Sus scrofa: one gene and its partner. The protein of the gene in region 1 purifies or fractionates together with the protein of each later gene. This does not show direct contact. Links are inferred from orthologs where the notes say so. Each region holds a gene or a part of one and is shown on either strand. Other genes may lie near its edges. The genes, in order: IRF2 and IRF2BP1.

Region 1 (3,807 bases):
TTGGATCAGGTTTATCTACTCCCGGTTGATGCTTTCCTAATAAAATAATTGAAAGAATTAAGGTTGTGGGGGGAATTAGATCGAGACTCAAAATTTCTGGAAACAGGAGAGCTGGGCAGGTGGTACAGAGAACGCTTTCAATTCTAGGTCACACCTACAGTGACCAACTGCCCCGGGTTGTTTAGGGCCGAGAAGGTTCCGGGGATGAGGGAATTTGTGTTTTAAAACCCAACAGTTCTGAACAAACTGGGACACACTGGTCACCCTGGTTCTACAAACCCGGTTAAGAGAAAAGAATGATGGTAGAGAAAGGGAAAATCCAAGTAAGGAGAAAAGACAGCGAAAAGGTCAGGAGGCCAACAAGCACGGGTAAGTGGAAGGCCTCTTTATCATGAAGTAAAATCCATTCTATAAATAAGTTTCCTAGTTAAATTTTGTTATAAGTACATATAATCTCGGCTACCTCTGGGGGAGATAAATTCAACCCAGCTCCAGAACAAGTCGTTCTCTATTCCCCGGGACACACGTGGATAACTTCTGAATAGCACATTTACGGGAAATCTCAGGACTAAGTGTCTAGGGAATAGGAGCATCGCTTCTGAGTGATGAGATCTGCACCCCTGCGACATGTGCCAGATGCGCCTGGGGACAAGTCACAGGTTTTTCGGAGCTACATCTTGACTCTAAAAGCCAGGAGATTTTACATAGGTAGTAAAAATAAACATAAACAATAGCTAACAGTCTTACTGTATAACTGAAGTTTGCCAAGACAGTAGAACTTAAATGTTCTCACACATACACAAATATATATACTTTAAATACCTTACAATTTATACGTCAATTTTTATTTATTTATTTTTTGGACATGCCCACAGCACGTGGACGTTCCCGTGCCAGGAATCGAATCCACACCACAGCTGTAACCAGAGCCACAGCAGTGATGACGCCAGATTCTTAACCTGCCCCACCATGAGGGAACACCCACAGCTCAATTCTTAAAAAGGCATGAAAACCACAACGGCAAAAGCAACAGTGCCAGCCTCTACAAACAACACGGGGTTGATACCTGTATGGATGGCCCAGTTTCTAAAGAGTGGTGCATCTTTTTCCACATCCCACCCATGTCTAGCTGCATGCATCCAGGGGATCTGAAAAATCTTCTTTTCCTGAAAAATAAAAGTAATTAAGAAACGTAGACATGGGTTTCAGGCCACCACTGCAGAAGGTTCTTTGGTCCTAGCTAACAAGATTCTCCAGTAAGTAAGTACCACTGGGGTTTGCTGAATATCTACTGTAAACCCACTTTCCCCCTGGACCCCAACCCTTGACAGTCCACCAGACATGTGGAGAAAGGCATATGGAGTCTGGTAGAATAGGAATGTATACCAAGGTCAACAGTGATGATCTGGGATATGCCCATGTGTTCTGTTACCTGGGCCTCCTTTCCCGTAGAGGACCACAGGAAACTGAGCACTTACTGAAACTTCCAATGCTTAATTACTCTTATGACTTATTTCCATCACTTGATAAAGAGGAACTCCAGCTGCCTTAGGTAAATTAAAAATTAGGCAACTCTCCAAAATAATACCATTTTGCTGTTAATGGGAAGTCGGGGTGTCCAAGGCCATTGTCAAGACTTAATATCTGCTTGAGCAGCCAACAGAAATAGATTTTGTTCTAACCCCTCTGTGTCTACCACTCCGCACGAAACAGCAACACATGCAAAGAAAGATGTGTCAATTACATGAAGAAGATGCTCCTTTTCTGGAGCAAAGTCCCTTAATTCAATTCTTCTTATAGCAGAACCTCCTCCTCGCTCTTACATCCCAAGAGGGGACTCAGAATTGCTTAAATTGACCCTGGCAAACATAGGTCTAGAAACTAGTACTTTGGGAACAAAGTGACACTTGTAGTAAAACTAATTTTGTGAAACCTGGTTCACTTTGCATGTTTACATGGTCTCGGTTTTGGTTTCTGCAACACCCTAACAAACTACTGTGATTATATTATCATTTCCGCTTTCCAGTTGAGGAAACAGAGGCACTCTCATAAATAAATTATCTAGCCAAGGGTCTAAGTTCAAAACCAAGGTCATGTGATCCCAGACTCAAGTCACTTACACCACCCAATGTCTCCCAGGGACTGGATTTAGAAGATTGCCCTGTCTTACAATAAATCTGCTCACTTGGATTCCCTGGAGATTAAAGCCTAGGGAAACTAATTTTTTTAAGCTCTCAAGGTAGGTCTGATCATTTCTAGGTCTGGAGATCTCTGCACAATACCCTGGAGCAGGAAAGAAAATGTTAGTAGGAATTTTCCACCACTTTAGTGTCACACAATGAAAGAAAAGGGGTCCCCACCAACCCAAAAGGGGCTCGGCTCCTCTCCTCAGAGCCAGTTATAAAGCCTGAACTAAAAATACGCCAGAACATTTGAGGACTCCCCAGAACTGTTAAAGGGGAAAATTTATGTATTTAAAACTTCGTCAACAAAGAAGAACTGAAAGCGAGAGGTTTTTCATAAATCTCTGCATGTTCAGGCTGTATCGTCCACAGAAAGAGGAGGGTTTCAGGTTCACCATTTTTCAAAGGGCAGTTAATCAGAAGAAGGCTGGGTGAATTTTTTTTTTTTTTAATATATATGAAAGTCAGAGAGGAAAATCACTCAGTGCAGTTTTGGACATGCACATAAGACGGAAAAACTTTTTGAAAATGAATTTATCTCAGCGAATGAATTTTTCCTGAAGTGCACCATCAGAATCTAAAGGTTTATGCCTTAAAGATAGAGACCCTTAAAGAATTTGCTGTTGTACTTTTTTTCTAGGTCAAAGGAGATCTGGGGTGACATAATCTGAAATCTATCCCCTAAGATACAAAATTCATTGTGATGAATAAATCTTTTCAAGTATTTGCGTGTTCAGAGCACACATGTGCACTCGCACACACGCGCGCGCACACACACACATCCTCAAACCTAGTCGCCCAGGAACCACACTCAAATCATGAATCCAAAAGTAATGACTGAACCTAGCAATTATCCTCCAAGGACCCTCTTGAAATGGCCGAAGGACCTGAACAGATATTTTTCCAAAGAAGATAAAGAAATGGCCAAGAAGCACACGAAAAGTGCTCATCACTAGTCATTAGGCAAATGGAAATCAAAACAGCAATGGGAGAGCATTTTAAACCCATTAGGATGGCTAGAATTAAAAACAAAACAAAACAAAAACAGAAAAAAATCAGTGTTGGCAAGATGTGGAGAAACTAGAACCCTCACACTGCTAGTGTGAGTGTAAAACACCACAACCACTCTGGAAATCACTTTGGCTGTTTCTCAAAAAAATTAACACAAATTACCACATGATCCAGTAATTTCACTCAAAGAATTCCAACCAGCTTTCCATGCAAATATTGACACATGAATGTTCATAGCAGCACTACTCACAATAGGCAAAAGGTCCATCAACCAACAGAAGAGATAAGAACGTGTTGTATATGCATAAAACGAAATATTATTCAGCCACAAAAAAAACCGGTATTGAAACTGGCTACAGTAGGGATGAACCTTGAAAACTCTGTGCCAAGCGAAAGACACTGTCCACAAAAGGCCATAAAGGGAATCATTCTATTTATATGAAATATCCAGAAAAGGCAAATCCAAAGAGACAGAAAGCACATCACTGGTTGCCATGAACTAGGGAAAGGAGAATTGGGGAGTGACTCCTTAATAACAGTACCAAGTTTCCTTTTGGGGTGATGAAAACGTTCTGGAATTCGATGGTAGTGATGGCTGCATAATAGTGTGAAT
Region 2 (4,482 bases), on another chromosome or scaffold:
TGCACAGGGTACAGCACAGGGGGGCCCCAGGGGTCGCTCCAGTACCACTACCACCCCCGCTAACTGCTTCTGCCCCTGCAGTGGGGCTAACTTCTGCCTCACCGTTGCGGGCCACTAGACGATGCTGGGCTGGAGGCTGGGCTGTGGAAGAGGCTGCCGGGCTGGCCCCCCCTGCACGCACAGGGCCGCCACCCCCGGCAGGGTCCTTGGGGGAGTGGCCCAGGGCTTCGGCCACGTTCTTCAGAGCGGCGATGGGTGAGGGCACACCAGGGGTGTCATTGGAGTATGGGCCACCGGGTGCCACCCAGTGTCGCTGCTGCTGCTCCTCCGTGGTCATCTTCCCAGCGGCCTCACCCTCAGGTTCAGGGGATGCCTTGCGACGGCGCGGCGTGGGAGCCAGATTCCGGGATGGGGCTCGTGGGGGTGGGCCACACAGAGCTGCGGGGGCTGGCTCTGGGTATTGCTGCGGTAGGGCCTCGGCGGGAGCTGGCTCTCGGAAGCTGCGGACACCATCGGTTAGCAGCTCCCCCAGCTGGCGCCATTCCCCTGAACCGTGTCGGCGTTCATATTCGAGGTACTTGAAGCCTGATGAGGCCAGTGCCTTGCCTGGCTCCCGCAGAGCATCATGAAACATCTGACGAGCCACGGCCAGGACTCCTGCATACACGTTGCCAGAACCACAGGGGTATTCGGTGAAGAGCTTCAGCTCAAACTCGTAGCCCGGCGGGCGGGCAGTAGCATCGAAGGCGAACACCCGACCCACCAGCCCGTGATCCTTTTTGAAGCGGACATTGAAAGGGGCGCAGGCAGACAGCGCCAGCAGCTGTTCCCGCACAGCTTTGGGGCGCCCATGCCATTCCTCTGCCCGGCCCCTCATGGCCTCATTCAGTTCTGCCAGACAGTCCGCGTTCCTCTGCTGCTTCTCCTTCTCGAAATCGGAGCCGAAGGGTGGACGGGCAGGGCTCAAGCCGGGTGCCAGCGTCAGGCCTCGGCTTCCCAGGCCAGACACCGCAGCTGCCAGCAGCCCGGGGGGCACCAAGCCGGGCATGGAGCCAAGCAGGGCCCTTCGCGCCCCCTCTGCCACAGCCTCCTCGCGGCCCAGCCCATTGGCCAGGCGCGACCCCAAGGTGTACTCCAGGGCGGGCGAGGGGAGTGGGAGGCGACCAGATGATGTGGCCCTGTCATAGCGGTCCTGGCCCGAGACAGCGCCGCCTGCTCCCGATGACTGGGCCTGGGCCTGTGGAGGCGGCAACTGAGGACCCTGTGCGGCGGCGGCAGCTAGGTCCTTAGTGGCCGGGTGCTTGAGGGCCGGGGGCCCCGGCGAGCGGCCCTCGGGGAGCACGTGGCTGCGCTTGAGCTGGCGGGCAGCATCGATGAGCAGCTCGATGCGATCTGCGCCCTCGAAGTTCACGCAGCCGCGGCACACGGCCTCACTGAAGTCCCACACCATGGCCCACGGCATCTTGGGCAGGTCGCACAGGTAGCACCACTGGCGGCGGGACGCCTGCACGGACGCCATAGCCCCCAAACGCGCGCCTTCAGGACCCCTCAATCCACCCGCCGCCGTTCGATCCGCACTGCCGACGTTCGATTTGTGTCCCCAGGACCGCGCGAGCCACAGTCGGGCCTCTGGCTCGGCCTCCCCGCGGATCCAGGCCCGGCCCCCCTTCCCCGCCCCCCGGGCCCTAAGCCTTTTTCCTCACTCCCGCCTCCTCGAAAAGGCAGGCAAAGGTACGTCGGCGCCCCAGCCTGCTCCGGGCTCCGGGCCGAGGCGCACAGCTCGGGCCCCGCGATGGGCCGCGAGCGCCGCCGCCTCGGGCTCCCGCCGCTCCCGCCACCTCCGCTCCAACGGCTGCCACCGCCGCCTCCACCTCCTTCTGCCCCAGAGGCCGTTTCGCAGGGAAAGTTACATAACGCGCCGGCAAAGCCTTCTGGGAAACGTAGTCCCGCCGGGGCCGGCTCTTAAAGGGGACGGCAGGCAGCAGAGGACGGCGCGGGCTCGCCGCTGCGCGACCTTTACCACTCGTCGCCGCGGGGCAGGGAGTTTGGCTTGCTCCGAGCATTTCGAGCACAAGGGTTGGAAACAGGGATGTGATACAAATGGCGAGCGCCACGACGGACTCAAAAATTGTAGGAGGTGGACAGGCTTCCGGGCATCCAGCTTCTGTTCCGACTTGCTGTGCGGCTTTAGGCAAAAATCTTGCCTTCTCTGAAGCTCAATTCCCGCCCTTCAAAGGTGGGCCAATGACTGGCTACGGAGGCAGTCGCTCCTGGGGCGGGGCGGAGGGGTCTTGATTGGAAGGTTTCAGGACAGGGGGACGGGAAGCAGGCAACTTAAGCGTTGGGCAGGGCTGTTCACTTGGCACTTCTTCTTGCCCCAAATCTTGAATGGCAGCCTCTGATTGGAGCCAGCAACATCCGGAGAAAGGAGAGAACTGAAGTTGCCAGCCTCAGCTGCCTTATCTGCTGAAGGGAGTGGTGGGGCGCCCCCAATTCTGTTCCAGCCCTGCCAAAGCGCTCTGGTCTCCAAAGGGTTACACCGTCAGTGTCACCGCCCCCCTCCCAACTTCACTACAATTCCCAAAATGCCCTGCGGGGCCAACAAGCTGACGCACTTCCGCAGTCTGGAAGGTTGGGGGAGGCCTTCCCGATTCCCGCTGTCTGTCCTTACAGTCCCCCCCCCCCCCCCCAGCGCGCGCGCAATTTATGGAAGGTGTTTCCATGTTTTCCCAGCACCAAATTGAAAGGACCCTCACCCTGTATGGCTCATTAATGTTGAGGAAGGGAAGGAGGGCAGGGATGGCAAAGTTGGGGGTGGGGGGTGCTTAGTTTCTGGGGAGAACAAGAGCTAGACCACCCTTCTCCAACCCTGATTGCTTACTACCATCTAGGCCTATGCAGGCTATGGGGACCCCCGTGTTTTCTTCCTGGCGACCGCACCCCGCAGGGCAGGCTTGGAAGCGTGGGTATGTGGAGGGTGGAGAAGGGTCTCCAGACTCTAACCCACGTCAGCCTCTTCCCCTCTTTAGGCCTAGGTTCCTGTTAAGCGCTCAAAAATATTTTGAATTATTTGTGAGTTGCACTCATTAGTGGTTTTCAAACTAATCAGGGAATACCTGCCAACTCTCCCTTATTCCACTGCAACCATAGCAGGTCTGATTTGCAGTCTCAGCTTCACAATTTTGTTCACGACTTGTATTATTTTGACATTTTTCTTGAAGTTGATTCCCGAGAAAAAGAAGTTTATTTCTGCTCCATCCTAAGCAGTATGTGCATAATCATGGGTTGGATTTTTTTTTTTTTTTTTTTTTGGTCTTTTTGCTATTTCTTGGGCCACTCCCGTGGCATATGGAGGTTCCCAGGCTAGGGGTCGAATCGGAGCCATAGCCACCAGCCTACGCCAGAGCCACAGCAACGCGGGATCGGAGCTGCGTCTGCAACCTACACCACAGCTCACGGCAACGCCGGATCATTAACCCACTGAGCAAGGGCAGGGATCGAACCCGCAACCTTATGGTTCCTAGTCGGATTCGTCAACCACTGCGCCACGACGGGAACTCCCATAATCATGGGTTTTATGTACTATACTTTTTTGTGTGTGCTGTACACATTTTTATAAAATAAGTTAAAATTACGTATATATGGAGTTCCTGTCGTGGCTCAACAGTAACAAACCCGACTAGTATTCATAAGGATGCCAGTTCGATCCCTAGCCAGGCTCAGAGGGTTAAAGATCCGGCATTGCCACAAGTTGCAGCATAGGTTGCAGATGGGGCTCCAATCTGGCGTTGTTGCGGCATAGGGCAGTAGCTGCACCTCTGATTTGACCCCTAGCCTGGGAACTTCCACATGTTGCAGGTGCGGCCTTTAAAAAAAAAAAAAAAAGCAAAAAATAAATAAACGAACAACAAAAAAAACCTGTGTACATATAGAGCCATTAAAAAGGCCATCCATGTATCTCCTAAAATTGTCTTTGGGCCTTTTTTTTTTTTTTTTTTTTTTTTTTTTTTTTTTGGTCTTTTTGCTTTCTCTAGGGCTGCTTCCTGTGGCATATGGAGGCTAGGGATGGAACTGGTGCCATAGCAGTGACCCAAGCTACTGCAGTGATAACCCTGGATCCTTAACCAGCTTTAGTTAACAGTAGTGGGAGTAAGGAGTTTTGGCCAGATGCTGCCTTGAGATGAACTGGATTGTCACCGGACAAATTTAGGGCAAGTCTCTAAACTTCTCAGGAAAAAAATGAAGACCCCGTAGAATCTGCTTTTCATCGAGTACCTTCAGGTTAAAATGCAAACATGCATATAAATGCTTAGCTTGGTGCCTGGCCCAGAAAAGGAATACTATAAATGTGAGTTGTCTCTAAGTTCCCATTACTTCAAAGATTCACACTCTACGTTGGGCGATGCTGAGGACACAGCAGTGGCTAAGCCAGGCTCAGGCCATGTCCTGACAAGACTCTTTCTGCTAATGGAGGCAATCATT

What was found.
Region 2: the proteins of IRF2 (region 1) and IRF2BP1 purify together in Homo sapiens (affinity purification with mass spectrometry; 4 studies listed by BioGRID and IntAct, counting the BioPlex papers as one, with this or other methods). This does not show direct contact. The link is inferred for Sus scrofa from reciprocal best matches to the Homo sapiens genes IRF2 and IRF2BP1.

The regions. Positions count from the first base shown.
Region 1 is NC_010457.5:45,581,556-45,585,362, forward strand, and holds part of IRF2 (interferon regulatory factor 2), read right to left. Parts: intron 1,167-3,807; coding exon 1,067-1,166; intron 37-1,066; coding exon 1-36. UniProt on the Homo sapiens protein: Specifically binds to the upstream regulatory region of type I IFN and IFN-inducible MHC class I genes (the interferon consensus sequence (ICS)) and represses those genes. Also acts as an activator for several genes including H4 and IL7.
Region 2 is NC_010448.4:52,197,347-52,201,828, forward strand, and holds the start of IRF2BP1 (interferon regulatory factor 2-binding protein 1), read right to left. Parts: upstream 2,865-4,482; 5' UTR 1,520-2,864; coding exon 1-1,519. UniProt on the Homo sapiens protein: Acts as a transcriptional corepressor in a IRF2-dependent manner; this repression is not mediated by histone deacetylase activities. May act as an E3 ligase towards JDP2, enhancing its polyubiquitination. Represses ATF2-dependent transcriptional activation.